Diceros bicornis minor: one gene and its partners. The protein of the gene in region 2 interacts with the protein of the main gene of each other region in a pairwise test. Links are inferred from orthologs where the notes say so. Each region holds a gene or a part of one and is shown on either strand. Other genes may lie near its edges.

Region 1 (7,220 bases), on a different chromosome or scaffold from region 2:
GGAGGAAACCGAGGCAGAGAAGGATGTGATGGGTGCAGACACTTGCCCCTGTCGGTCTCGCCCCGCAGGCCCTGAGGGCCAGGCCCTGAGCCCGCCCCTCCTGCTGAGCTTTGCCCGCCAGGTGGCCGAGGGCATGAGCTACCTGGAGGAGCGGCGCATCGTGCACCGGGACCTGGCCGCCAGAAACGTGCTTGTGGGCGATGACCTGACCTGCAAGGTGGCCGACTTTGGCCTGGCTCGGCTGCTCAAGGTCGGTGCTGGCTGCTGACCCTGCAGGGTGGCAGAGCGGCTGGGGGGGGAGGGTGCCACTCCGTCTACCCCACCCTGGTCTCCCCTTGCCCAGGACGACATCTACTCCCCAAGCAGCGGCTCCAAGATCCCCGTCAAGTGGACGGCGCCCGAGGCGGCCAACTACCGCGTCTTTTCCCAGAAATCGGACGTCTGGTCCTTCGGAGTCCTGCTGTATGAGGTCTTTGCCTATGGCCAGTGTCCCTACGAAGGTGGGCCACGAGGCAGCCCCAGGGAGGAGGCACACCCTCCCCCGGGGGTCGCTGACCCTGGAAGGGAGGGCAAGAGGCCTCAAAGCTTGGCAGGGTCTGGCCAAGGGCTGGGGGTAGGTCTCCATGGTGACCCCCAGGCAGAAGCAAGGCAGCCCCTGTCCTCGGCCCCCTCCTCAGGCATGAGCAACCACGAGACGCTGCAGCAGATCATGCGAGGGTACCGCCTGCCGCGCCCGGCCGCCTGCCCCGCCGAGGTCTACCTGCTCATGCTGGAGTGCTGGAGGGGCAGCCCCGAGGAGCGGCCGGCCTTCGCCGTGCTGCAGGAGAAGCTGGGCGCCGTCTACAGGCGCCTCCACCCTGCCCTCACGTGACCCAGGCACTGGACGCTGGGCTGGGGTCACTCCTTCCCGCCAGGGCGTCCCCCCGGGATGATGTTTACCATCAACACGTACAGGGTGCCAGACGGCCCATCACCAGCCCGCAGAGCCTCTGGCTGTGGGCCTCACGCCCTGACACACACACTGACACACACACCTGTGTGCACAGGAGGCAGACACACGCAGACACCCACTCAGACAGGGGAGGGGCTGACGCCCTCTGCCCTAAGTGACCAGTGTCCCTGGCGAAGGATGAACTCAGCACAGAAGGCCAAGTGGAGCCCGAGTTTGCTCCGGCCTCAGGGAGAAGCCTTGAGCCTGGGCTGCGGTCCCCCTGCCCAGGCCTGCTGCCCTGGGCCTGCTCGACCCCCTCCCAGGGTCAAGAGCGAGGGGTGGGAATTCCCAATTTTCCCCAAAGTCCCCGCATGGCCTTGTGGAAGCAGTGGTGCCAGGGCTCCCAGGCAGACCGTGGGAACTGGCCCCACATGGCACATGCTGGGCGTACGCTGGGGCGTGGCCACTGCCTCCCACGGGCACACCGTTTCCCGTGTGTAGACCTGAGCACACGGGAAGGCAGCACTTAATAAATACGTATTGACTGACTCAGACGCAAGCAGACATGGCTCACACATGGGCCTCAGCCCCCTGAACCAGAACAGGAGCTGGAGCTGGTGGGGTGGGCCCCCAGTTGGTTTACCCTGGCAGAGGGAGAGCTAACCCCCGCGTGGCCCAGGCCCCCACCCCAGGGCATCTTGGCACCCAGAGCAGGTTGACCCAGAGGCAGCACTACCCCTGGGCCATGGGCAGGACTCAGGTGTCAACAGCCCTTTCCGTCTCCCTGGGGCTGGAGCAGAGAGATCGGGATGGGATTGAAGAGGTGGGGGACTGGGTCAGGCCACGGGAAGGTCAGTGGTGGCTGCGTGACCGTTTTTGGGGGTGTGTGACCCTTGAGGTCAGTTCTCTGGGGATGGGGCAAAGGTGAGAGAGGCAGAGTCTGCCTCGTGGTGCTGGTCCTGGTGTTGCCCTGGCTGTGCAGGGTCAGGCGGGGTGGAGGTGGATGCTGCTGGGTGAGGGCTACTGGGTGATAGCTGGCTCTCTGGGGAAAAGGAAGCAGCCCCGATGCATGGCCTTTGGGGTCTCCAGGGTGTGACTGCTCCCGCCGGGCTGAGGAGCCGGGTGGGACGTGTGCTGTTGGTTCTTGCTCAGCCTGCCTGGCTCCCGTCACCACCAGATGGACAATAGAGGGGCGGGGGGCAGGGCAGATGCGGTCTGTGTTTGTGGTCCCTGACCCCCACCCTCCTGGGAGCCCCACGCTGGCAGCTGTGCCCCAGAAGGCCTGTGGGGACTGAAGGGGCAGACCACGCAAGGCCGCCCTCAGCTCACTGTTCCCTGGAGGGAACGGCCGCTGTGTACGGTTTAGGGTCAGCTCTGGGCCCGCTGAGGCCAGTTAGCCCTTCACTGCTGACCCCAGGCCCTGCCCATGGGCTGGCACTGGAGGAAGCTGGGACCCTTGAGTGCAGATAAATGACCCTCCCTGGGGCCACTCAGATGCTCTGAGAACAGTAGGGACTTCCTGGAGGGGAGGGCGGTGGGGGCACCGCAGGTGGGGGCAGCACAGAGGGATGAGGTCACGTCAGGGCCCAGACCAGCCTGGCTGTGGCCCAGGGCCGAGTGGGGAGAGGGCAGGGGCCCCTTGGAGTCTTGGGTATCAGGCTGGGGCTGGTCCCGACCCAGACGGATGGTGGGGGCAAGAGGGTTTGACCTGAGCCCTTTGACCCCAGCAGCCTAGCCGAAGCTCTGCCTTGGCCTGCAGCCCTTGACCCCCTCCATCCTGTCCTGGGAGACCTGAGGGGCCAGCTCTGGCTCGTAGGCTGAGAAGGTGAGGGTTGGAGGTGAGCTCTTGGGTTCTGGGTGTTTCCTCAACACACGAGCAGCAGTGTGGGACCAAGGGGCTCAGCCACCAGATGGGCATGCCTCTGCTTCCCGAGCTGCAGTGCGAGCCAGGGGAGCTGGACGGGCGCCTCCAGGGAGGGAACGTGCTGGGCTTGGCAACCGGCCAGAGAGGTGGGTGTGTGTGGGGTCACTGCCTCATTCCTGGGGTGTCTCATCAGCCACAAGCTGAACAGGTTTAGTGCTCGGGGCCCCTGGGAGGGGCCGGGGACTTTCAGGCTTGAAACTCTCCTGCTTCCTGGTGCCATTCAGGCGGAACCTGGGCACGTCTGTGCCCCGCGACATGCCTTGGCCCCCTAGACATGGGGTCCCGGGCTGGCCCAAGGGCTGAGGGGACAGGAGCGTGTTGGTGAGCAGTGAGAGGCAGGTTGGGGGCACCTGGGAGCTCCCTGGGCCCCAACATAGGGCCCAGCCGTCCCTCTCGCCCCCTCTGATCTCTCCCCACACCCCCTCTGCTGCCCCTTCCCCACGTGGGGCAGAGCTGAGCTGGGCTGCCCATCGTCTATGAACTTGTTGAACGACACATGTTTGGGTCCGGAATCTTGGAGGGAGTGAGTGGTGCCACGGCTGTCTCTTCAGTCAAAGGGAAAGTGCCAGCACGTAGGGTTTAGTATGTGATTTTCCCCTGGTCACTTGTCCTCACGGTCCTCCTGGCATGGGGGCCGAGTCCCTACACCCCCTCTCTGCAGATCCCTGCCCTCCTGTCCTCGGGAGCCCGGCGCACAGGACAGCTCCCATGGAGCTGTTGGGTGGGCTCCGTGGGGGAGGGAGAGGTGCCCAGGACACAGGACAACCTTCGGGGGTGGGAAGAGAAGCAGCCCTCTGGGGGGCTTCTGGCAGTGACTCTGCTAGGAGCTTGCTGTCCGTCTGTCTGTCCGGATCAGTCCTGGCAGCCCTGGGAGGTGTGGGAAGGAATGACTCACCCCTGGGCCTCCGCCCCTCCCCTCACCCTTCAGCTCCAAGACTCACTCCCCTTGGGTTCCACTTACACCTGAGCGCCCATCTGTCTGACCAGTTGCCCTGCCCTCCCTTCCCCTGGGCTCAGGTCCGGCCATGTAGCCTGGGGCGCCTTAGTGGCTGGTTGGTGCACAGGTTTCCCATAGCAGATGTGCAAGAGTGGTACCCAGGCTGAGCTGGCCGCAGTGGGTAGGAGGACAGGTGGGGGCTGCCGGGGCCCTTAGGGTGGAGCCCAGGTGCCTGAGGAGGCCCGGGAGAGCCCGTCCCCAGTGGGCACGGGTGTGGCCAGCCTGACCTGGCAGCCTCATCACAGGGAAGTGGGCCAGCTCCTCAGCTGGGCGGAGATGGCCTGTCAGGGTTAGCACCGCCTGCCCGTCCTGCCAGCCAGCGTGCCGGCAGCCAGCAGAGTGACAGGTGGCGAGGCCAGGTGGCCAGGTCCTGCCGCTGCGCCGGCAATGGCGTCCCAGGGCCAGGTGCACCTGAACCCCGAGTACGTAGGCCTCTGGGACTTTGAGGCCCGGACAGACAAGGAGCTGAGCTTCAGGGCAGGTGACCTCTTCCACGTGGCCAGGAAGGAGGAAGAGTGGTGGTGGGCCATGCTGCTGGACGAGGCGGGCCTGGCCCTGGCCGAGGGCTACGTGCCCCACAACTACCTGGCCGAGAAGGAGACAGTGGAGTCTGAGCCGTAAGTGTCCCTGTGGGCCCTGTGGGTCACTCCAAGGTGCCCCCAATCCCTAGGCCCTGCGGCTCTGCGAGAGCTCCAGGCAGGGCGGCGGTCGGACAGAGCTCCGTGCCAGGTGGTCTCGGGGGAGGGGCAAGCGTGCTGGGCCGGCCCCTGGGAGGCCGGTGAGGGTGGCGACCCGTGGCTCTGTCTCCCTGTGTTCCCCAGTCAGGACTGGACCCCACCGTCCCGGTCCTGGGAGCACTAACTGGGCTTTCACCAAGTGTCATCTGGGGATGGGGGCATGTGGCCCCTCCCCTGGGCTCCCCACAGTCACTTCGTGGTGCCAGGACCCAGAGAGGACAGAAGGGTCCGCAGTGGGCTTCCGGGTGGCTGGCCGACAGTGATGAGGTCTGCGCGGGGGACTGACACAGGAGCATTGGGCCTTTTGGGGAGTGAAGCTTCACTCACCTTCCAAACAACTGAAACCAGATGTGTGACTCAGAGGGAGCGCTCCAGAAGGTCGTTGCGACATGCTCGTCCAGGGCGTGTGCTGAGGCATCTGCTCCCTGTGCCCTCGCAGCTGCCCTGTCACTGGCAAGGTGGCTCCCAGAGGCGGTGGCCAGCTCTGAGGGGCTGCCTAGGAAGCTTAGACCACAAGGCGCAGCCTGGTGAGGGCGTGTCCACGGCGCCCTGAGGTGGTTCTTCCGAGCTCTGGGCGGGGTGGGTCCAGGAGGGACTCCTGTTTCCTGCCTGCACTCCCGTGATCGTGGTGGCTCACCAGCACCCACGTGGACTGAGCACCAGGCTGTGCCGGGAGAGCACGAGAGCATGTGTGGGTTACTCCCACCGCAGGGAGATAAGCAGCAAACAATCACAGTCATAAAGAGGACAGTTTCAGAAGGCGGGGTCCCATGACAGGGATACTGCAGGGTGGGCACGGCTGGTGAAGGCCCCTGAGGCCCTGAGAGCCCAGCGCATTTGAGAAGCAGGAAGGAGGCAGGGGGGTTGGAGGGGTGAGCAAATGGGAGAGACTGGACAAGTGCTGGATCGGTCAGGGGCAGAGTGTGGACTCCCAAGGTGCTCTCACGGGGCAGTAGCCTTCTGTGCAGGTGCCCAAGTTCCAAAGGTGCCTGAGGGAGTCGAGGTACCAACAGCAGAGCAGCCGGCAGCAGGGGTTATGTGCGGAGCTCTGAAGGCCCCACCCTGCAGTCCAGAGTCAAGGGCTCATCCATGCCCTGGTTCTGGGAGCTGGTGTGTGCAAATACGTGTGAGTGTGTGGGTGCATGCATGTGTGTGTGTGCATGCGTGTGAATGTGTGGGTGCATGCGTGTGTGGGGTGCATGTGTGTATGTGTGGGTGCATGCGTGTGTGAGGTGCATGCGTGTGAACATGTGGGTGCATGCATGTGAATATGTGGGTGCATGCGTGTGTGCGAACGTGTGGGTACATGTGTGTGTGCATGCGTGTGAACATGTGGGTGCATGGATATGGGCATGCGTGTTAACGTGGGTGCATGCATGTGAATGTGTGAGTGCATTGTGTGGGGTACATGCGTGTGAACACGTGGGTGCATGTGTCTGCATGCATGTGAATGTGTGGGTGCAGGCGTGTGTGTGTGGGTGCATGCATGTGAACGTGTGGGTGCATGTGTGTGAACACGTGGGTGCATGTGTGTGTGCATGCTTGCAAACGTGTGGGTGCATGCATGTGAATGTGTGGGTGCCTGTGTGTGTGTATGCATGCATGTGAACATGTGGGTGCACATGTCTGTGTGGGGTGCATGCGTGTGAATGTGTGGATGCATGAGTGTGTGTGGGGTGCATGTGTGTGAACATGTGGGTGCATGCGTGTGTGAATGTGTGAACGTGTGTGTGCATGAGTGTGTGTGGGTGCACGCGTGTGAACGTGTGAGTGTATGTGTGTGAACATGTGGGTACATGTGTGTGAACGTGTGGGTGCATGTGTGCGTGTGTGGGTGCATGCATGTGAACGTGTGGGTGCGTGTGTGAACACGTGGGTGCATGTGTGTGCATGCTTGCGAACATGTGGGCACAGGCGTGTGTGGGGTGCATGTGTGTGAACGTGCAGTTGCATGTGTGTGTGGTGCATGCGTGTGAACATGTGGGTGCATGCATGTGAACATGTGGGAACATCTGTGTGCATGCGTGTGAACATGTGGGTGCATGTGTGTGAACACGTGGGTGCATGATTGTGAACGTGTGGGTGCATGCGTGTGAACACGTGGGTGCATGTGTGTGAATGTGTGGGTGCATGTGTGTGTGGATGCATGCATGTGAACGTGTGGGTGCATGTGTGTGTGTGGTGCATGCGTGTGAACACGTGGGTGCATGCATGTTAACGTGGGTGCATGCGTGTGAACGTGTGGGTGGGGTGCATGCGTGTGAACATGTGGGTGTATGTGTGTGAACACGTGGGTGCATGATTGTGAATGTGTGGGTGCATGCATGTGTGTGGGGTGCATGTGTGTGAACGTGTGGGTGCATGTGTGTGTGGTGCATGTGTATGAACATGTGGGTGCATGTGTGTGAGTGCAAGGGCATGTGTGCATTGCCTTTCTGCCTAGATGCCCAACCCAAGGTCCTTGGAGCTGGAGCCCAGTGTCTGTGGCCCGGGTCACAGGAAGTGGTCCCAGAATCACAGAAGGATGTAGTCCCACAGGATGGGATGGCACGTGTCTGGGACGGGAGACATCTGGGCAGGGTGGTGGGAGCCTGCTTCACCTCTTCCTGGTCACGAGGGCCTTTCCTGGTG
Region 2 (7,377 bases):
AAAATTATTTTAATTAATCAAATATATTATAAACACTCTTCAAACCATATTATTCAAGATCTTATTCAAGATCTTTTCTAAGTAACAGTAGAATACATAAAAGGTTTGGCCTCTTCCATTAGCTTTCTCAGACTCATTCCTACTGAAAACACAGCAGAAACTAGTGAAATAAAACAAACTACAACAAAATAACAAAACAACCAAAAAACTAGTACATTTAACCCCATGGCCTTCATTTCTAAATGAAGTAGTAGTTGCAATTGAGCACAGATTTGCATCTATCACCAATCAAAAAAGCAAAATAAATCATTGTGAAAGCTCATTGGTTTACATCACTGCCCTTATATATATTAGCTTCCGGAAAATCATTCTGAAGAACTGACTCATCTGGATCACTTTTATTACTCACTCGGTCTTGAGATTGTCTGCACAGCACTGACTAAAATGCACTTCAGTGTGCACTTTCTTTCCAAATGAATATCTATGTCAGGTTTATTTATAGCCACTGTCTTCAATCAGTGCATTTCCAGGTATGAGAAATCTCAACAATACTCTCCTATAGAGAATCTGAAACAAAACCTGGAAATCTTCGCAAACGGCCTTTGATAAGATAAGGAACGATCTATAACGTAAAATGTACATGAAGATTTATTAGAGAGTCCAAAGGACACTCACCTTGTACTCTTTAATGAGCACATTTAAAGAGCCTCAGGAACAATTAGAGCATTAATTTAAACCCTATACATCTTTTTGCATATCTCCTTATATACTCCAAGATTATCATCATCACCTTCTCCATTCTCTTTTCCTGATTATGATTTCTCTGAAATTTGGACATCTCTTTGTTTCTTACTTAGATGCTTTTCTCTCCATTTAGGAGCTTATTCCTGCTAATTCCTTACAAAAGCAGGACATGCTTCCCCCTACTGGGAAAAAACTAAATTACAAGGAACGTCGGAACTTGTTCCTCAGTATCAAGAAATCAAGTTCCTGGAAAAGATAAAATGTTAAGGAACCAGTGCATAGCCTTCTCTGACTGTTTTAGCAGCTGCAGAAATACTCATGACTCTATTAAGAGTTTCTTTAGTTTGGCAGTTTTCAAAAGTACACTAACTCTCATTAATGACTGATGAATTAATCATTGAGCCTGCTGTCCCAAAGAGAACTCCAATTAGCAGGTTAGAGAAAATAATCGATTTGTAACATTTTTTTCATTTTAAAGACATTATCTGCTAAATGAAGACACTTCTGGAAAATATATTGAAGTGAAGAATTTGAGCAGGCTTAATTGCATTTTTAATCATTCTGAACAATCTTAAGCATTTATTAACTCATTAGTTTTCAATATTCTTATTATTTTTATGTAGTTATCTTTATTTTTTAATAAAGTAGAGGGAGGGTTTAATTTTTTTAATTGACTTTACTGTTGAACTTTAATTTCTGGTTTTTTCATTCAGTAACCAAGAAAGTAGTAAACATAATTGCATTTTACCTTCCCAGATCCTCTACAAAACCAACTTGTTCCTTGAAAAACAGTTTAGTAGTTTCACACATTCAATATTTTGATTATAAATCTTTTCTTAATTGCTTAGTATGTAAAAATGAAAAAACACGTTACACTTTATTGTTGCCATACGTAATAATCTATCGTTAAAATATTTAAATAAACCTAATGCCTATTTGAACCATACACAGAGGATTAGAATTTTTCCTTCCATGTATAACTAAGTCTCAAAAAACATTTCTGAAGGGCTGAAGTTGTCACTTTGAGTTTTGCTGTAGTTGAGTCCATAACAACCTATGCTACAAAACTGCACTATAGTCTGTCTGATGATGAAGCGATTCATTATTAATGATGCATTCATCAAAAGAGATCTGGAGTTGTTTTTAAAAAGGCATGTGTAGCTTACTAAAGATATATCTTTAGCAGGTAGACGGTATTATTTCAAGATAAAAGGAGTAATTTGGTTAATATTTCTATCATACAGAAGTTTGTGTGTGTATGTGTGTTTAAACAACCTTTCAAAGCTACGCAGAAGACAAGATATATACGTTCCTCTGGGAATAAAATCTTCTTGAGCATTACAGGTACACAAAAGAAAATGCACACTTGGTAAAACAGTTGATCAATTGTGGAGTGTTCCCAGGGACCGGTATCTTGCAGAGTACCCAATCACCACACTTCAAATAAATTGATAAGCACTTTAGCCTCTGCCACACTGACACAGCCGAACACGCATAGTTTAACCTAGGTTATTCTCAGACTTTCCATAGGAAAGACTGTAATGAGACTAAAGGATATCAAAATCACTTCCCAAATGCAGCAAAATAAAATTGCTGATTTGTAGCTAAGAAGGTCTTAGAATTTGACCATTATTTACTTCCAAACAGACTTCCCTCCCCTCTGCGAAGTGAAAATATTCCCGTAGACCGCGTTACACTTGATGGTTTCTCTATCAGCGATCCTAACAGGTCACATCACCACTGCCATCAGACCTCGTAGCTCTGGTCTTCCCCAAATTGAGACGTAGAGGAGAAGGAGCATCGCCGCCCGCGCCCAGCACGGGCTCTGTCCGCCCGGGCTCTGAAGCGAGCATGTTCAGGGGGACAGTTCCCGCGAAGAAGGAGACAGGCGTCCCTCCCCAACTTCACTCCCCTAACCCAGCCGCGGGGGAGCGGGCGGCCGGCCGTTCGTGCCCATCCGTGGGGGCCAGTCCTACCTTCCGCCAAAAGGCGCGAGGCATGCACAAAAGATGGATCCAGGCTATCTTTCTCTGCCATCAGCTCAGGCAAATATTTCTCCTCTTCCATAGCGCGGACTTCGGACCGTCCCCGGGCGAAGCGCAGGGTCCGCTCGCTCGGACGCAGGGTCGCGGGCAGCGCCTGGCTGCCGCGCCGCTCCGCCTCCGCCGCGGCCGGGGGCTCTCCGCGCGCCCTCACTGGCCCACGCACCGGGCGACCGCCACTCCCGCCGGCCGGCCGCGCGGCCCCGCGCCCACACCTGCCCGTCCGTTCCGTCGTCCCTCGCTCGCGCCGAGCCGGGGCTCACACCAGCGGCCTTAACTGGAGAGGCGGGGACGGCGCGCGTCCCACCCTCGCCAACCGCTCATTGGTGGTGCTGCCAGGGGAGGCGGGGCCCCCGCGCAGGCCGCGGGCCCTCATTGGGCCGCGCCTCACGTCGGATCGCCTGACTGGCAGGAGGCAGCTGCAGAGGGGAGGGGAGCGCAGAAGGTGCAAATGCTTTCTTCTTGCAGCCCAAGCCTTCTCTGGTTATTAGGCATGCCCAGTTGTGTGGAGCCCTCTGTGTCTTCAGCGGAGGTGCGGAGCGGGGAGAGAGCGGGAAAAGCACCCATTAAACAGGGACGATCGGCTTCAAGGTGTCAGGGGGATGGGGATGAGGAGTGAGCAGCTGAGGGGATGGGAAAGCACTAGGGAAAGTCTCAGGCAGGTAGACTAGACTTCACCGGCGTCCCAAAGGCACAGGTGTCTCCTCTCCTCCCTGCAGCTCAGACGCACTCCAGTGTGCAGGAATCAGCAGCGCACCGGGTCTGGAAATATAATGAAGACTGCGTGTGGTCGGCGGCTGGTGTTTCCAACGAGCCTGACCTACATCTCGGGGACGCAGTAAGATGTTCATTGATAAACAAATAAAGCGGCTCCGGGGCGATATTGTTGTACGGCAACGCGCTTCCAGTGTACAATCATTGGGGTATCGACTGAGTTCTGGTTTCCCTCCATCCATCCCTCCTCCCCCAATCCCCATCTATGGGTGGGCTTCCGGGAGGGGACTGAATTTTAAAACTGGAAAGCAACATAATCAATTAGCCACAGTTTGTGAAGGAATTGGGAAGGCATGTGGAAGAAGGAAGAGACTAGACAATAGGTAACCACGGTTGCCCTAATTTCCCCTTTCTCCTTGTTTCAGATGTGACAGTCCCTTTCACCGGGTGCCGTTACTGCGCTACTTGGCACCTATCCCACCTCTATTTAAAGGAGAGCTAAACCCTCCAGCTATCACCGACGCTGGAGACAGTGCCCGTCCTTCTCTTACGGATGGGGCCTGGAAATGCAGCTTGGCTGCTCCAAATGTCACAAAACAATCTTCCATAGTCTCTTTTCATAAACGATCATCTTCCAGTTCACCTCTTCCCCACCATTTTTGGTGTGGAAGAATGGGGGGCTAACTTTCCTACAAATAAAGCGTGCTAAAACTTTTCCAAGTTGTCTTACTGTATTCAAATCTTTTCCTTATTTGTTTTTCAAAATAAGGTTGGGAAATTATCTTTTAATTTAATGTGCCTTCACATCCATTATCCCGATTTTTCCTCATAGAAGCACTCCAGAAAACATGGTGCAAGTATTGCTTTCTCTGTTTTATAGGTGTGGAAACTAAGACAGAGGCAGAGAAGTTCAGTGACCTGGAAGTGACAAATATGACATCGTTTGGCATCAGCCATGTTCATGCCATCCGGGAGCTGAGCATATGCCACCGTGGGGCCAAAGGTGAGGGGATATGTGGCTAACAATTCTGATAGGACTGTTAAAAGTTCTTGAAATAAGCGGTGAGAACCATGACTCACTGATAATATTGGTTTTTGACAATAGGAAAGAAAATCACATTTCTTAAGGCATTTTTTTCTTAATCAGCTTTTCCATGTAAAAATCTAACACTTTAAAATGATCTGTGTTCTCTGTAGTGTTGTTACTCTAGGCCTATAAAAGTATCTCGTGACAGAGGTGTGGGCAAAATGGGTGAAGGGTGTCAAAAGATACAAACTTCCAGTTATAAAATAATCCTGGGGATGTAATGTACAGCCTGGTGACTATAGTTAATAATACTCTATTGTATATTTAAAAGTTGCTAACAGAGTAGATCTTAAAAATTCTCATCACAAGAAAATAAAATTCTTTTTTAAATCTCATAGCTAGTTAATGCTAAAATTGAGATTAAAATTCAAGTCTATTTAGTACCATTTAGCTCCAGATTGTACTGCTTTAGCCTACCTTTTTGTATATTAAATAGTTAATTTATTTATACATATATGCATTCAATAATGTTTAGTGAATATTGAAAAGAGCCTAGAGACTGTGCTAGAAGTTGGAGAAACATTGGTGAATGAGATACACACATTCATTCCATCATCATAGAGATGATTTTCTAATGGGGAAAGACAAAACAAAATACACCAGAGAACTGGTAGTTGCTGACTGCAAAAAAGACCAGGAGGGAACCAAGCAAGGAGTTAAGAAAGAGAATACAAGGGAACCCATTTTTTTGCCAGGATAGACATGCAGGCTTGCTAAGGAGTTGGCATTTAAAGCAAAACCTGATGGGAAAGAAGGCACTGTCTGCGTAAAATGAACAGAGAAAGGCATTCCAGGGAGGTGAATTTGCCCATGCAGAAGCCATTTGACCAGAAAGAGCTTGGCCTATTCCTGGAACTGACTGGGGTCAATGTGACTGCAGTGATCTGGAAGAAACGGGAGAAATAAGGGTAGGGATGGATGGGGACAAACTGCCTAAGGATTGGTGGGTGGAAAATAAGTTGAATTTCATTCCCTGTGTTAATGGGACCATAAAGGATTGTCATCACTCTGGAGTGCTTCTCAAACAATCTCTTCTGGCTCTTATCTTACTTTCAAAGACGTTATAATTTAGAATTGAGGATAAGTGCAAAGAGTGCTTGCTATTTTAGTTGAGTGTGGGCAGGATGGTTAGCAGTTGAAGGGTCAGGCATTTGGCATCTGGTTTGCAACAGAGATATGAGGGGAAACATGCTACCAGTCTTCAGAGAGATGGTCAGGAGCCGCTATAGCGGGAGGCTGGATAAGATGCAAACTACAGCTAGTAAACTGTAAATGTTTGGAACGAATATAAATTAGAAAAATTATTGCACAATAATTGCAATCACATTTTGCTTTGCAGCACGCCCAGAGATTAAAAGCATGTGGTGCTGATGAGGACATGCACAAACCCAGTTTCATGAATCAAAAAGAAGCAGTAACTTTTGTCATGTCCAGCAACAGAAATCACATTACTCATTCACAATCCTTTTCCGTGATTAAAGTACACTAAGAAGGTACCACAGAGAGCTGTCCAAGGGCTGACTTTATTATATGTCTCTGGATATCCAGGTCATTATAATTATGGAAAGCTAGTTAACTTTTACTTTTCCTAGTTATTATCAAAAAGTAGTTATAATTTTATATTCTCAGGTAAACTCTCAGTAAATGCCTAAAATGCATTCTAAAGAAAAAAGTGTATTTATGTAGCTTTAAAAAATTAAAAGAAAATGAATACTAACTTAACCTTTAGGATACTTTGTATATTTAGCACATGGTGGATATTATAAAATAAAAATATATAAGCTACATTGACCCTTAATAATCAATATGCTTCAGAATTGACTCACAAAATATTGTCTATTTCCAAACAGGATATGGCTGAATAAAGCCAATCTCTCCAAGTGCCCTACACATACACTTAGCCAGCCTCAGATCCATGTGTTTTCAATAGATGACTCTATGTCATTGTGTGTTCTCCGTTTATTACACATGTAAATATTTTATAGGTACCATAATTATTTAGTGGATATTCTCAGAGACGCTTTATTAATGCAAACATTTTATAAACATCAAAAAATGTAAACAAATTAAGAGCCTTCTATACATGATTGTTGAATAGAGATTATTATGTGCCTATACATGAATAAATTATAACTACTGGTAAGCCCACCTCTTCTTATAATAGTATAAATAACTTAACCAAAATCTACACTGAATTGATTTGTATATGTTAATAAAGATTTATCTCATTTTAACATGAATTCTAGTCCTCAAAGTTTTTTTAATGATGTTCCATTTACTGCACTATTATTTTAATAACGGGATATTATGGAAAATTTTGCACCAACAAAATTTGGTTTTGAAGGGGGAATAAGGAATGCACTGTAGAGTATGTCCTGTAGTTAATGCACATACTGTGTATTCAATACTTTCACAAACCCTTAGAAGAAAAGCCAGGATAAACGGCATTTAATCAGGCTTATCTTTGCACAGTAATAAAAAATACCCAACTGTATTATTAAATAAAACACACAGTTTCTATTTCAGAGTTCTCGTCAACTTTAGAGATACCTCACTACCCTGACTACTTACTCCAAGGATTCAGTAGAACCTACTCACAATAAGAACCACAGGTTAGTAAAGTTATGGCAGCCCAATCATTTATGTAATGATAATGGAGCCTTAAAGTGCTAATATTTACTAAGCTTTCTAATGCCTTGGTGCCTAGGACAGAGTATAACAAAGGACCGAAATATTGACTGACTTATTTTCATCTACTGAAAAGCCTGGCAGAGCCCATTATGTAGGACG
Region 3 (7,578 bases), on a different chromosome or scaffold from region 2:
ATATCTCCTCAAGGGCAGAGGCTGTGCCCTTTCTTACTTCATAGCCACACTGTCTTGTCCGTGGAAACTCCTACCCCACTTCTACGTGAAGGTTCTCTCTGGAACTCTAATGGACCACACGTTAACGGTCCATCAAGGAAGGAAAAATAACCTGGCCAGGGATCTACATGAGGGTCACCCTGGCTGCCCACCAGACAGCAAGAGGAGCGAGAAGTCAAGTGGTTCTGGTGATGAAGCCAGCCCCCCAGCAACAGACACCAGCAGCCCTCGTCAATTAGGCCAGAGGAACGATGGCTAAATGCCACCCACGCTCAGGAAGAAACCAAATGGGAAGCAAAGCTCAGGTTCTCCTTGTGCTAGGCCTGGCTGAGACTCCAGAGATATTCCAAGAACCCGCCAATCCCTCACATGGCTCTACCTCTTTATCTTCTTCCAGGCACCCACACTCATTATCTCAAATGCTCTTCATAAAAGAATGCTTTGAAATAGAAAAGTATTAATACCTAGACTTACAGTGAGAAAACTAGAGCACAGATCTGCCTGCAAATGGTGATGGTGTCAGAACTAGAACCCAGACTCCTTATTCTCAAGCCACTGTTCCTTCTGTTGGATAATCTAGTCCCGTGTCTCATCATAACCTAAGCCTTTCCTTTCCATCTGCCCAGAGCCTGCAGATGAGGGCGGGAGGTTACCTTCCTTAGTTCTGACATTCATCTGCAGAGAAAGAGATCCCTTTGATGAGCAGGCACCTACCAAGTGCTCTCTGGCTCCCAAGAGGGTCATAGACCTTCTGATCCCTCATAAAATAGAATTTTCATAAGTAGGCGTGAAAAATGTCAGCTATACCATCAGATCAAGAAGGTTCCGGGCCTGAAGCCTAATAGAGTTCCCAGTCCCTGAGCACAGAGGTGGGATTTCCCCTGCTAGGGAGGGTGAGAACCCTATTCCATCCTGTAGCCGCATTCCATCCTGTGATGTCATGTCCTCAACTGGACCCCAAGGAGGACAAAGTCTAAAAATAATAATTGATAATATTTAGTGAGGATTATTTTGTACAATTGTCATTCTAGGCACTTTATGTGGATTAACTCATGAAGTCCTGCCACATGCCTGGGAAGCAGGTGCTGTTATTATCCCCATTATACAGACAAGGAAACTGAGGCCTGGACAAAGTAAGTAACTGTCTAGGTCACAGGGCTGGGAAGTGTGGGAAGCTGAAATCCAGGAACAAGCAGTCTAGCACCAGAGTCCATGGTCCTCACACCACAGCACAGGGCCTACACAGCTGAAATGCACTGCAGCCCTTGGGGCGGTGGGCGGACTCTTCCACCACACGTCAATCTCCCCCATTAACTGCCCTGAACCACCAAAACTGTCCTTTGTCTACCACCCAGGTACCTTTGCTCTTCTGTCCACCCAGCCTCCGTCTACACTAGCTTCAGCACAAATCTGCTCATGCCCCTCCCCTGCTCAAAAGCCCTCTATTGCTCCCCACTGCGTAAGTGGAAAAAGTCTCAATTTCTTAGCCGGGCATTCATACCCTTCCAAAATGTGGTTCCAACTTACTTTGAGCATGATCATTCTCTTCAATGCACCCTCCCCTCAAGGCAAAAGGAGCTACTGCTCTTCTTTCCTGGATATGCCCTTCACGTTCAGCTTTCATCTCCTGGACCACATGGGTCCCTCCACCTACAATGGCCTGTCTCATTTAACAGTCCCCATCTTCCCTAGAGAAGAGTTTCAGCCTGATACCTCCAGCTGGAAGAACCAGAGTTAAAGAAGCTTTGAAGCTAAAAAGGGTCCTTATTGAGTCTAGTTCAAATTTCCCATTTTATAGATGAAGAACTTGAGCCCCCTTGAGGGTGTGAATAGTTATTCGTTCTCTGGATGGGGACAATTCACCTTAAAACACTCTATAGTGCCTAGAGCCCAGTAAGCGAATGGATAAAAGTTGAGCTCTCCAGGGCAGTGTTTCTCCATCAGTGGCCTTGGGACCCCCTGCATCTAATCACTCTTGGTGCCTGGATCCTCCAACCTCTGACCTGCTCAATCCTCATTTCTGGGGGTGGTGTCTGGTATCTGCCTGTGTAGCAAGCCATACAGTGGTTTTAAAGTTCACACTTAAGTTTGAAAACCACAGTGAGTCTACGGGGATTGCACCACGGACGCCACTTAGTAGAAAGAGTTCCAGTACCTGAAGCCTCCCTTCCCCCAGCCACCACTTCCGCCCCTGAGCTCAGGCAGAGGCCTCTGGGAGTGTAGATGGCTGAAGCTAAGAGGCTTACTTCTTAGACATCCTCAGATAACCTGGCAGGATCCTTTCTCTCCAGAAGATCTCTGGGGGCTGAGTGAAGGATCCCGCCACCCAGACCCACCCCCCAAGCCTGCACAGCCCTCTGGATGCTCTGCCAAATCAGGCGTCATCTGACCCAGGAGGAACAGGCAGGGGAAGCAGGCAGAGGAGTGCCGCTTTGGACAGGGGTGGAGGGAGGCATGCTGGGCCAAGCAAGGCCAGGCCAGGGGAGAGAGCGGTGCTCCCTCTATGAGGACAAGTCTCCAGATGGGGCGATGGAGTCCACTCCCTGGAACGCTGGGAGCCTGGTGCACAGAGCCAGGATGCCAAGCGCTCGGCTAGACCCCATCTAGGAAATGCATAAGCGTTGGGGAGAAAAGGCGGCCCGCGGTGGGCGCGAGAGGGCGCGGGCTGGGCGCAGCCTGCTGGGCGGAGTGCCCACCTTCCTCTCCCGCTGCATCCTCTTCCCCGCCCAGCTGGCCTCGCAGCAGGCTGAGGGAGCCACGGCGCCCTCGGACCTTGAGTCAGCGCTCCCTGCCCGCGCCCGCGCCTCCGGCTTCCGCAGCATCTGCCTGCGTGCGGTTCTCCGGCCACCTGCCCTTTCCCTGCTGCAGACCCCATGCCCGCACCTACCCACTCCGTGCCGCTCCTTGTCAGTTTTGCGCCAGGGGCCCATAGCTGAGCCGGGGGCCTGCGGGCGCCTCGCGTAGTCCTGTGGGGAAGCAGCCAGGGGGTGGCTAGGCGCTCTGCCGGGCCCCACTTCCTTCCTCTTTTCAAACAAACTCCATCTCAGGGCCCGCCCTCCCCTCTCCTGGGCGCCCCGCTCCTCCTCTTCCCTCCCTTTGGGCAGGGGCACATTAGAAGTGGTTAGAAGGCCAGAAAGCCCCCGCAAAGCTTAGAAGACACCCCCAACTTGTCTCCTCCCCAGGCGGGTGGGCAGAGGCCAAGCAGGTACTTGGGACGACCCATGCCGCCACCACAAGTGCAGCAAGTTCCCCGATAGCTGAGCCTAGTGGTTGAGCAGAATCCTCCCTCCCTCCTCACCCTCCCAGCACGAGCTTTGGTGTCAGGTGTAGGTTCAAATCCAGGCTCTGTTGCTTATCAGCTGTGCAACGAGGACAAATGTCTCTTCTAAGCTTCAGTTTACTCATCTGTAAAATGGGATACTAGTACCTACTTCATATGATTATTGTGAGGATTAGAGAAGACAATGCCTGCAGCAGGTGACACATAAGAGTTACTCTGAAGATTAGAGGAGATAATGTCTGCAGTAGGTGACACAGGAGAGTTAAATATCCACTTGAAGGGGAGGTCATTTGTGGTTTTTATCCTTTTGGTGCCACAGACCCATTTGAAAATCTGACAAAAGCTCAGGAATCTCTCCTCTGAAAATACACAAGCATAGGATTTACCGACAATGCCAGGACGTAGGCGTGCTCTAACAGCCAGCAACAGTGGACTCCACGAAAAGAGGCCTAGAGTTAGGCTACCGGAGACATTTCTTGGAAAGATCTCATTTTTGCTCTAGAAACAGATTCTATCAAGAAACAAAAATGTCTCTGTGATCCACAGTGATAAGACCGACAAAGTCTTCCTGAATTTTCTTTCTTTATTCATAACTCTCACTACCCCTTTCTGCCTTACACTAGGGAGTCAATAAGATAGATTAGGCAATATCACAGCCAACAGGCAGCTATGGCAAAATATTAATTTCATTTTATTTAAAGTTATTTTCTTTTCAGTTTTCTAGCAGCATAAATTGGGTAGTATCTTTTATAGTGAGCAGTTGAATAAGTCAGGATTCCTCCAGAGAAACAGAACCAGTAGGATGTGTACATATAGAGAGAGATTTATTGCAAGAAATTGGCTTATGTGAATATGGGGCTGGCTAGGCAAGTCCAAAATCTGTAGGGCAGGCCATCAGGAAGCACAGGCTGGAAACTCTCAGACAGGAGCTGCTATCCACAGACTAAATTTCTTCTTTTTCAAAGAAAGCTCAGTTAAGGCAATCCAACTAATTGGATCAGGCCCATTCAGATTATTGAGGATAATCTCCTTCACTTAATGTCAACTGATTGTAGATGTTAATTACATCTACAAAATACTTCCACAGCAACACCTGGATTGGTGTTTGACTGAATAATTAGGGTCTATAGTTTTGTCAAGTTGACTCATAAAACTAACCATCACAGCTGTATTACAAACTGAACTAAACGTCAGAGGTTGGTGAACTTTTTCTGTAAAGGGTCAGATAGTAAATATTTCAGTCTTTGCAGGCCAATAGGCAAAATCAGGATACTGTGTAGGTATTTATATAACAGGAGAGAAAACAAATTTCCACAATTTTTATTGATAAAATTCAAAATTTGACATTAATAATTGATATTAATAAATAAATAAATTTGACATTAATAATTAATAATTTTGTGATATAGGTTTAGTAATGAGAAAAATAAATTTTGGGGGGAGATCACATTTCACTTCATTGGAGTTCAGAGTTAGTGTTCCCTTTCATCAGATTGGTTGCAGATGTTCATCTGTTCATGCTGATCCATAATGAAAGTTTATATGCTTTGTCTTTGAAAATTTCTTTTCCCACAGGTGGTATGTAGTGAAGAATTAACCTTGCCCAAAAAGAGGTCTGATATTTGTCCTCAGCTACTGGGAGGTGATCTCTAGGCCCTTGGAATGTCACAGTTTGCCTAGGGAACTTGGGTCACACTGGACAGTCTAAAAATATTATTTAGGTTGGTGGCTGACCACGCTAGAAAGATCAGCAATGTGATATAGGTGGGGGCTTTGGACTACACGGTATCAGTTGACCTGGAGGTTGAGATCAACCATTTGGCCAATCAATCAACCATACCTATGTGATGGAGCCCCAATAAAAACTCTAGACATCAAGGTTTGGGTGAGCTTTCCTGGTTGGCAATACTCCACACATATTGTCACACATTGATGCTGGGCAAGTAACGCATCCTGACTCCTTGTGGAGGAGACAATGGAAATGTTTGGTACTTCCTGGACTGTGCTCCATGCACTTCTTCCCTTGGCTGGATTAAATCTGTATCCTTTCCCGATAACAAATGGTATCTGAGCATAACAGCTTTCACTGAGTTCTGTGAGTCTTTCTAGTGAATTATTGACCCCAAAAGTGGTTTTGGGAACCCATCAAACCTGCAATTGGTGTCAGAACTGAGAATAGTCTTCTGTGGGCTGTGTACCCTCTAAACTTTGTGGTTGGCTAACTTTCACAGTTGGCTAAAACTCTCAGAGGAAGGTACTGCCAAATACTGATATTAATCCACGAACATAAGATTTTATTAAGCATCTTCATTGCTCTGAAGGAATTTACAGAGTTCTATTAAATCTTCTCTTGATGTTTGCCTTTTAGCACATCATTATATTGCAAATTAATCAATTCCAATTGAAGGTTAGATGGAAGCTCTTCAATTGCACAGTTAAATAGGTTTTGAAATTTAAAAATTTCTTCTGCATTTGTTTTGAAGTTTGAAAAACATTGCTGGAACTGTGATTTGAGCCTGAAAAATACATTCCCTGAGAATTTGTGAAGGAATGGAGATCTCACTTTTGGTTTTAATTTTTGACAGCACAGGAAGTTTTAAAAACAGCTTGACATTACTTGTGATTTAAACATTAATTTCCATCAAGATAACTTTGCCACAGTGTTCTGCATATAACCACTGTTTTGCTTTGTAATTCTGGTTGAATCTATTAAGAAACATTACGAAGTCTGCAGCAAAGCTAATTTCCAAAGCCATTAAGTATTCAATAATAGTGGTTGAGGGCTGTTCTTGTTAAGAAAAATTTCAATCTTGACCCGAGCTCAAAAAGTCACAGATGACTTATTACTGTTAAGCCTTGGAACTGCTATGTGGTTGGTAGGGCAAGTCAAGATATTCAGCTTCTATTTTTGACAAAAGTTCACAAAATAGACAATGGTTAAGTCCAGATGAGCTAATGAAATTCACCTTTGACACAATTGGCTTGATAACACATGATAGATTTAAATATTTTCCACAAAGTACCTTCTGTGAATATTACAATAAATTGGCATAGGCTTTAAACACTCTACATTTTCACAAGCTTTGTAAATTTGTCCGAAAAACTTTTTTCTGCTCCACACATATTTTTACCACCAATAGCTGTAACATCTTAGCAGATTCCACTTCAGGTTGTACTAAATTAGTTTCCTCATTTTCTTTGAAAATATTTTTGTCCATAGTTTTCCACACGAACTATTCAAAGAAGCTAATTCTTCATTCACTTCAAACTCAGCATTGACTTGTCAAATAAACAACTGAGCTATATTGATAACATCTGTCAACTTATCAAAACCCAAGGAAAACCACTAGAAATCATTCGCCTTGTTTTTTTGTGTGTATGTGTGAGGAAGATTAGCCCTGAGCTAACGTCCATTGCCAATCCTCCTCTTTTTGTTGAGGAAGATTGGCCCTGGGCTAACATCCATGCCCATCTTCCTCTACTTTATATAGCACACCACCACAGCATGGCTTGACAAGCAGTACGTTGGTCTGCACCCGGGATCTGAACCTGTGAACTTAACAGAGGGCATGAACTTAACCACTGCACCACCAGGCCAGCCCCCTCATTTGCCTTGCTTTTAAACTGATTATTAATGTTGCTCCCAATGTCTTCAACTCTTCAAGCAACCACTGTCACCAAAAGGCTAATAGTCTTAAACTACTTTATTTTCTCTGAACATATTTCATCTGCTGCTATAATCAAACATAATTTAATTAACTCACCATTAATAAATGTCTTTCCTTGCATGGTTAATAAATGAGTCAATTGGAAACTTACTTTGGTTGCAGTCTCATTTTCATTTTTTTTTTTTTTAAAGATTTTATTTATTTATTTTTCCCCCAATGCCCCAGTAGATAGTTGTCTGTCATAGCTGCACATCCTTCTAGTTGCTGTATGTGGGACGCGGCCTCAGCGTGGCCGGAGAAGCGGCGCGTCGGTGCGATCCCGGGATCCGAACCCGGGCCGCCAGCAGCGGAGCGCGCGCACTTAACCACTAAGCCACGGGGCCGGCCCTCATTTTCATTTTTTTAATTTTTTTTTTAATAAGTTGTGTTGTGATGAGATAATGTTTTAAATTTTCCAATTTTTCTAGCCACTGCTTTTTTGCAGTTGGGAATATTGTGATGAGTGCTTACTCTGTTATAGTGTATTCTTCTAGCACAGTTGTAGTGTCACTGCATAATAAACACAATGCTTTCCTGTCTAATTTGATAACA
Region 4 (7,134 bases), about 26 Mb from region 2:
TCCAGTTTGGGGCTATAACGAAAAACGCTGCCATGAACATTTTGATACATGTCTTTGTTACACATATGTATGCACTTCTGTTGAGTATATACATAGCAGAGGTATTGTTGGGTCCTAGAGCATATGTATGCTCGAGTTTCATAAAGTCAAACTCTTTTTTTCAAAGTGGTTGTACCAATTTACACTCCCATCAGCAGCTGTTACACAGTCTTGACCACACTTGGTATTGTCAATCTTTTTCATTTTTCCCATTCTGATGAGGGTGAAAAGTGGTGTTTTTTTAAAATTGTGGTAAAACATGTAGCAAAAAATTTTCCATCTTAATTATTTTTAAGTGTATATCTCAGTAGTGTTAATTCACATTGTTGTGAAACAGATCTCCAGAACTTGTTCATCTTGCAAAACTGAAACTTTATAGCTACTAAATAACTCTCCTTTTCTCCCTCCATCCAGCCCTTGGCAAACACCATTCTACTTTGTTTCTATGAATTTAACTACTTCAGATACCTCATATAAGTGGAATCATATAGTATTTGTCTTTTTGTAACTGGCTTATTTCCTTTAGCATAATGGCCTCATCTATGCTATAGCATGTGACAGGATTTTCTTCCCTTTGGGGGATGAATAATATTCTATTGTATGAATATACCACATTTTGTGTATCCATTCATCTATCAATGGACATCTGGGTTGCTTCCATCTCTTGGCTATTGTGAATAATGCTGCTATGAACATGGGTATGCAAATATCTCTTCAAGATCCTGCTTTCCATTCTTTTGGATATATAGCCAGAAGTGGGATTGCTGGATCATACGGTAGTTCTATTTTTAATTCTTTGAGGAATCTCCATACTGTTTTCCACAGTGGTTGTACCATTTTACAATCCCACCAACAGTGCACAAGAGTTTCAATTTCAAAGTGGTGTGTTTTTATCTTGCATTTATTTAATGACTAATGATGTTGAATTCTTGTTCACATGTTTTTAGCCGTTTAGATTTCAGTTTTTATGAGGTGGCTGTTCCAGTCTTTCGCCCATTTTTCTAACAGGTTGTCTAGAAGAGTTCTTTATATACTCTGGATATGAGCTCTTTATTGGTTATATTTGTCGCAAGTATCTGCTACTCTATGGCTTCCTATTAATTTCTTAATGGTGTCATCAGATTAACAGAAGTTTTTATTTTCTAATGTAGTTCAGTTTACCAATCTTTCCTTTGTAGTTAGTGTGTCTGTATTTCTTGTCTAAGGACTCTTATCTACTCTAAGACCACGAAATAAATTAATTTTCTAGAATTATTTCTTCACCTTTTACACTTAGATCTATAAGCCACTTGGAATTGATGTTTGTATATGGTATGAATAGGAGGTCAAATTTCATTTTTTCCCCCACATGAATGTCCAATTAATCCAGCATCATTTACTGAAAAGACCACTATTTCAGTTTCATCTTCATCATAAATTAAGTGTCCACATATGTGTGGGCCTTTTACTGGACTCTTTTTGCTATCCTAGTGACTTAAATGTCCATTATCACACTGTCATAACTACTATAGCTTTACGTTGTCTTGATATTCAGAGTAAGCCCTCTCACTTCAAGACTGTCTTTGCATTCTCTCAGGCTGATCCTTTGCATTTCCATGTCCATATTATAATGTAGAATGTCTATTTCTACAAAAACATTATAGGGATTCTAACTGCGAATGCATTGATTCTATAGATGAATTTGGGAAAAATGGACATTTTTACGACATTGAGTTTTCCAAACTGTGAGTATACAACATGTCTCCATTTATTTAGGTACAAAAAGCCCTGATATTTTTATTTTAAAGGATATATTCTTTCTAGGTTTCACTCCCTCCCTTTTCCAGGAGCTAATCAAAGGATTAGGGGGCCCCCTCCTCCTCACCTGACTTGGGGTCACCAGGCTTTCCATTGGCCATGGGGGGAGGGCCCAGAAGGCTGGGTGGTCCTAAGAGTAGACATGAAAATATGGTCATCAGAATGGACTAAAGGACTGATGATCCTATTCTTATTATGTTTTTCTTCTATTAGTCATTTCTTAATCCAACCAGTAAAGGTATATTCTTAGCAGTGTTAAGAGTTCTCACCCCATCTATCTGCCCTTTCCTCTGCAAAGCGTTTTCAGGGTTTGCCAAAAGTGGAGACTCAGTCAAGGGGGATAAAGCTGGAAGGTTACCTACAACTTTCCCTTTTCTTTACATTGTTGCTATCCAGACCATCTCAGTGATACCAGAGGTAATCCAATTTCTCTCTTTAACTGCTGGCCAATCAGATAGCTCCCCAAGCCCACGCACACCCCGGTCCCCCGCCCTGACCCGGAGTAGTTTTAGAGAAGGCTGCACTTCCACCTTCCCTGTGAAAGTCTGATCACAAACTGTCATCCCAGTTGTCGCAACCTGCAACCTCTACCACTCCTCTCCCCTGCCACTCTGCGGCTGCGCACACGAGCTCTTTACCTTCTCCCCTACCTTGTTTATTAAGCTTTAGGAGCCAGATTGAAGTTGAGGGTTCAAGTAAGAGAACTCCTCCTTCAGGGCTCCATCCCGGACAGTCCCCTCTCTGCCCCAGCGGGTGCGCCCTTCCTCCTTTCGTTAGAGCCCCCTCCCCCGCACCTTTTCAGCCCCTAACTCCTCGCCCTGACCGGCTGACAGGCATGTGCACACCCCTCCCGGGCTCCTCACCAATGGGACTCCCATCCTCCTCATCTCCAGTATCTTCCCGCTCTGGCAGTGGGGGCTGCTGCTGCGGCGGCTGCTGCTGCTGCTGATTCTGCTTCTTTCGTTTCGGCATCGTGGTTGCGGCAATGGCTGCAGCGGGATTTGGAGGGCAGTGAGGAAGGGGCACGCTGGGATTCTGTTTCCGCTTCCGGGGGGGCGGTGGACAGTGAGGCTGAGGCTCCCGCCATTTCACTTCCGGAAGGCTGCGGGGTCCTTTGTGCGGTGGCGTTCTCACACCAACTGCCTTCCTCGGTCTCTGCCAGGCATGGCGGCAATCTCAGACCGTCCCTTTGCTGCGTTTGTATAAAAGCTTAGAAAAAAAATTCCTCTCTTCTCCCCTCGCTGAAAAAATCCCACAACCGTCTCCTCACAGTGTGCCATAGAGTCGACAGGCTCTCGGCCCAGAAGGCCTGAGAAGAGAGGGATGTCGCATCCTAAGATCGCCACATCCGGTACCCGGTTACTGTGGTAACCGCTGCAGGCACAACTTCGTGCCCTCTGACCTCCCTCCAAAAGTCCTTGTCCTACCTGGATGTCCCTCCTCTCCCGCGCTTGCCCTTATAATCTGTAAACCTGTTCCTTATCATCGTTCCCACAAGGAATTTGGGTCCCAGCAGGGCGGCGCTCACGACTTTTCAGACCACCACCCGCCCCTCAAGACCTCTGACCCTGCCCCCAGTGTAGCCCAGAAACTTGGCTTCAGTCCCGGGACGCGCAGTCTCGGCTTTCCACTAAGGTCACACCCGGGGGTTGGTAAAACAGCTTCTGCGTGTCCACGCCCCTCTCTGCCCCAGGTGGTAGGACCCGCCCCCCGCTCCGCCGCTCCCCTCCAGGTGAGTGGTAGCTTCTCGCCGGCGCGAAAGGTAGTGATGACACGCGTCCCCCCTCCTCCGAACGCGAGTTGGTAGCGTCCGTGACGAAGTTGTCCGATCCTCCCACGCGCGCCTCCTTCCTCGCCGCCGCTGCGCCCTCTCGGTACTACTGGCTCTCACGTGCGGGTAGCCCACCCCGCATCATCCTCTCGCCTCGCTCGCAGAGGGAAGTGACTGTATTTCCCCTCGTCCGCCTTCCACCCCAGCCGCCGGGGCGAATTGGCCGGGCCCGCCCGCTGACGTCACCTCAGAGCCCCGCCCCCTCAAGGGTCCCGGGCCCTTGCGGCGGGGGCTGCCCCGGGGGGGGAGTCAGTTGAGGCGGCGGGAGCTCGGCGGAGGGCGGGCCAGGTGACTGGTCCGGGCCATGCCGAGAAAGAAGCCCTTCAGCGTGAAGCAGAAGAAGAAACAGTTGCAGGACAAGCGGGAGCGGAAGCGAGGTCAGTGCGGGAGGGAGACGAGGGGGCGGGGCTCCGGCTCCCGCACATCTGGAAGGAGGGGTGTGCCTGCCGCACCTCTAGGGGGCGTGGGAGGGGGTGGTGGTCGCGCGCCGAGGCGCGCGGGCGACCGCGGACGGGATTCCTTCATCCCAGCCCCCTAAATCTGGAAGGAGTGGGGAAGGATGGAGAGTTGGGGGAGGGGAATCCCTCCAGCTCGAACGGGGCGCCATCCCCGCAGCTCCCTGGAGGAGGAGTGACTCCCCCCACGCACATCCGGGAGGGTCCTGGGCACCGTGGCTGGGAGGACCGGGCCTCAAAAGAAGTAGGGTGGGGTGAGGGGGAGCCAGGCCGGCCGAAGAGAGGGTCTTATGGCCCCTGCGAGCCTGCCAGCCCTGGCGTCACCGGCTCCTCCCCGCAGGGCTTCAAGATGGGCTGCGATCCAGTTCCAACAGCCGCAGCGGGAGCCGGGAGCGGCGGGAGGAGCAGACAGACACCTCAGACGGGGAGTCTGTGACCCATCACATCCGCAGGCTCAACCAGCAGCCTTCCCAGGGGCTGGGCCCGCGAGGCTATGCCCCGAATCGGTGAGAAAGGGCGGGGGGCGCTGGCCTGGGCCTCCCCGCCCACCCGGAAGTCAGCCGGCTGGGGGAAAGCCGGCTGCTGTTGGTGGAGGCTGGAAACTGGAGGTGGCGGGGCTGGGATGCCACGAGTCTCCGCGGGCCGCCGGGCTCACCGGAGCAGGCCACCGTCTTCCCTTCCGGAGGGGCTGGAGAGAGTTTGGCTTTTAGAAGAGCGAGGCTTAGGGGAAGGGCGAATATTCCATGAAAGAGGGACTTGGGGGAGGGCCGACTCCGAGAGGAGATTTGAACAAGTCTGGAGAGCAAGCTTTGCGAAGTTGTCTGCCCAAGGGGAGAGAAGACGGGACTTTGTGGTCACAGGACTGTGATGGATGCCGTGGCATCTCTCCCGTTAGATATCGGCTGCATTTTGAGCGAGACAGCCGGGAGGAGGTGGAGAGGAGGAAGAGAGCAGCCCGGGAGCAAGTGCTGCAGCCGGTCAGCGCTGAGGTGCTAGAGCTGGACATCCGGGAGGTCTATCAGCCCGGTTCAGGTGAGGGAGAGCCGGACATCCGGGTGTTTGGGGCAGGCAGTGGGCTGAGGGAAGGAGCTCGGAAGAGCTGACGGTCAGGAAGGAGGGGACTGGGATGCACCCTTGAGTCCTGAAACTGTCCTCGTACTGACTTGGACTTTTTCTTGACTTTCCAGTCCTGGACTTTCCCCGACGTCCTCCCTGGAGCTATGAGATGTCCAAGGAGCAACTGATGAGCCAGGAGGAACGGAGCTTCCAGGAGTATCTTGGGAAGATTCATGGGGCTTACACCTCTGAGAAACTCAGCTACTTTGAGCACAATCTGGAGGTGAAAATGGAGTGAGGACAGGAGTGGGGCGGAGTGACCGATGCTCAGATTGGTCTGGGATCAGGCGGGGAGGGACTCTGGGCTCAGGGTCTCTTCTACTGACCTGTCTTTGCAGACATGGCGGCAGCTGTGGCGAGTGTTAGAGATGTCTGACATCATCCTTCTCATCACCGACATCCGACATCCAGTGAGTGCTGGGGGGAAGGCGGACATGGGAGGAGGGAGGAAGATTCCCTCCTCCCATGTGGGGTAAAGGGCGGAGCAGGAGTTGGGAGACAGAGAGGTGTCCTCTTTCCTTTCCAGTCTCCTCTCCCCCATGCTGCTGTCCGCAGTCAGGAGCTCAGTCCCTTATTCATCAGTATGACAGACTGTCACTCCTCCCCTGGCCAACTGACTCTCCTCTCCTTTACTTCCCTTGATGAAAAACTGCATATTCTGTTTCTCAGTCCGCTGGGAACTAGACCAATAGAAAGTCCCCATGTGGAGCTCCAGGAGCTTCTACGAAGGCAGCTGGGGGCTTCCGCCTCTCTTGCCGCATCAGTTGCCATGGGACTCAGCCTCGCCTGGAATGCTAGGGTAGTGGTTCAGGCTCTAGACTCTGCTGCTGGGCATCCCTTGTGTGAATCCTCTCTGCCACTTCACCATTGTCCTCCAGTGGGAGAAAGGGAGGTCTGTGGGGACATGTAGGTTGGAGGTCGTTAATGACATGTACACACACACTCGTACACATATACTCTGCCTCCAGTTCCCCACTCACCAGGCACAGCTCAGAGACAAGACCCTGGTGGGAGCAGATTCTGGGGCAAAAAAGGTAAATGAGCCAAACTAAACTAGAAAGACAAAGCAGGGGTAAGTAACACCTCTGCATTTGTCTCTGAGGGGCTTCCTATGGGTCCTGGTTAGGGATGGAAATGAGCTGAAAACAAGATAAGGAAATAGCGACACCTAGCACATTGGGGTAAAGGCTGGAAGCAGGCACAGGGATGGGAGTTGGGGTAGAAATTAATGTCTATTTTCATGTGCATACAACGGTCTGCATTTGCTCACATGCGTATGTCAACTCTGGGTTGACCTCTCATTGCTCCATCCCGTGACCACCCCTCTCCCAGGTTGTGAATTTCCCACCAGCACTTTATGAGTACGTGACTGGAGAACTTGGCCTGGCACTGGTGCTGGTCCTCAACAAGGTGGATCTGGCCCCGCCGCCTCTCGTGGTTGCCTGGAAGCATTATTTCCACCAACACTATCCCCAGCTCCACATCGTCCTTTTCACATCTTTCCCTCGGGACCCCCGCACCCCACAGGACCCTAGTAGCGGTGAGTGGGCAATGAGGAGGGCAGCATGGGAGAGGCGGGTGGCAGGGGACAAAAGGGAGCACAGAGAGGCTTGTTGACAAGGGGGTTCCTGATCTTGGGCCTAAGGGTGGTGGGAGAGATGGAGTGCTAACCTTTTTGTGCTCTCTGATCTCAGTGTTGAAGAAGAGTCGGAGGCGGGGGAGAGGATGGACTCGGGCCCTGGGGCCAGAGCAGTTGCTGAGAGCCTGTGAAGCCATCACTGCGGGGAAAGGTATGTGCCCCTTAGAGGGAGCTGTGGGAGGCCATGGGGGAGACCCAGGGCCTGCAGTCCTTTTGCTAACCTTTCCCTAAGTCAACCTGTCTATTATGGATGCAGG

The links.
Region 1: the proteins of KHDRBS2 (region 2) and PTK6 interact in binary tests that used the Homo sapiens proteins (3 or more experiments, as listed by UniProt). The two-hybrid records come from large-scale screens. The link is inferred for Diceros bicornis minor from reciprocal best matches to the Homo sapiens genes KHDRBS2 and PTK6.
Region 3: the proteins of KHDRBS2 (region 2) and DOCK2 interact in binary tests that used the Homo sapiens proteins (3 or more experiments, as listed by UniProt). The two-hybrid records come from large-scale screens. The link is inferred for Diceros bicornis minor from reciprocal best matches to the Homo sapiens genes KHDRBS2 and DOCK2.
Region 4: the proteins of KHDRBS2 (region 2) and PRR3 interact in binary tests that used the Homo sapiens proteins (3 or more experiments, as listed by UniProt). The two-hybrid records come from large-scale screens. The link is inferred for Diceros bicornis minor from reciprocal best matches to the Homo sapiens genes KHDRBS2 and PRR3.

The regions. Positions count from the first base shown.
Region 1 is NC_080758.1:663,872-671,091, forward strand, and holds the start of PTK6 (protein-tyrosine kinase 6), read left to right. Parts: upstream 1-4,212; 5' UTR 4,213-4,239; coding exon 4,240-4,469; intron 4,470-7,220. Other genes in the region: tyrosine-protein kinase Srms, read left to right, coding at 69-250, 344-500, 678-871. UniProt on the Homo sapiens protein: Non-receptor tyrosine-protein kinase implicated in the regulation of a variety of signaling pathways that control the differentiation and maintenance of normal epithelia, as well as tumor growth.
Region 2 is NC_080753.1:8,698,541-8,705,917, reverse strand, and holds the start of KHDRBS2 (KH domain-containing, RNA-binding, signal transduction-associated protein 2), read right to left. Parts: upstream 3,019-7,377; 5' UTR 2,812-3,018; coding exon 2,721-2,811; intron 1-2,720. UniProt on the Homo sapiens protein: RNA-binding protein that plays a role in the regulation of alternative splicing and influences mRNA splice site selection and exon inclusion. Binds both poly(A) and poly(U) homopolymers. Phosphorylation by PTK6 inhibits its RNA-binding ability.
Region 3 is NC_080740.1:83,897,451-83,905,028, reverse strand, and holds the start of DOCK2 (dedicator of cytokinesis protein 2), read right to left. Parts: upstream 3,016-7,578; 5' UTR 2,970-3,015; coding exon 2,927-2,969; intron 1-2,926. UniProt on the Homo sapiens protein: Involved in cytoskeletal rearrangements required for lymphocyte migration in response of chemokines. Activates RAC1 and RAC2, but not CDC42, by functioning as a guanine nucleotide exchange factor (GEF), which exchanges bound GDP for free GTP.
Region 4 is NC_080753.1:34,524,019-34,531,152, forward strand, and holds the start of PRR3 (proline-rich protein 3), read right to left. Parts: upstream 3,003-7,134; 5' UTR 2,809-3,002; coding exon 2,700-2,808; intron 1,967-2,699; coding exon 1,904-1,966; intron 13-1,903; coding exon 1-12. Other genes in the region: GNL1 (guanine nucleotide-binding protein-like 1), read left to right, coding at 3,972-4,044, 4,463-4,628, 5,018-5,154, 5,310-5,461, 5,577-5,648, 6,571-6,778, 6,933-7,028.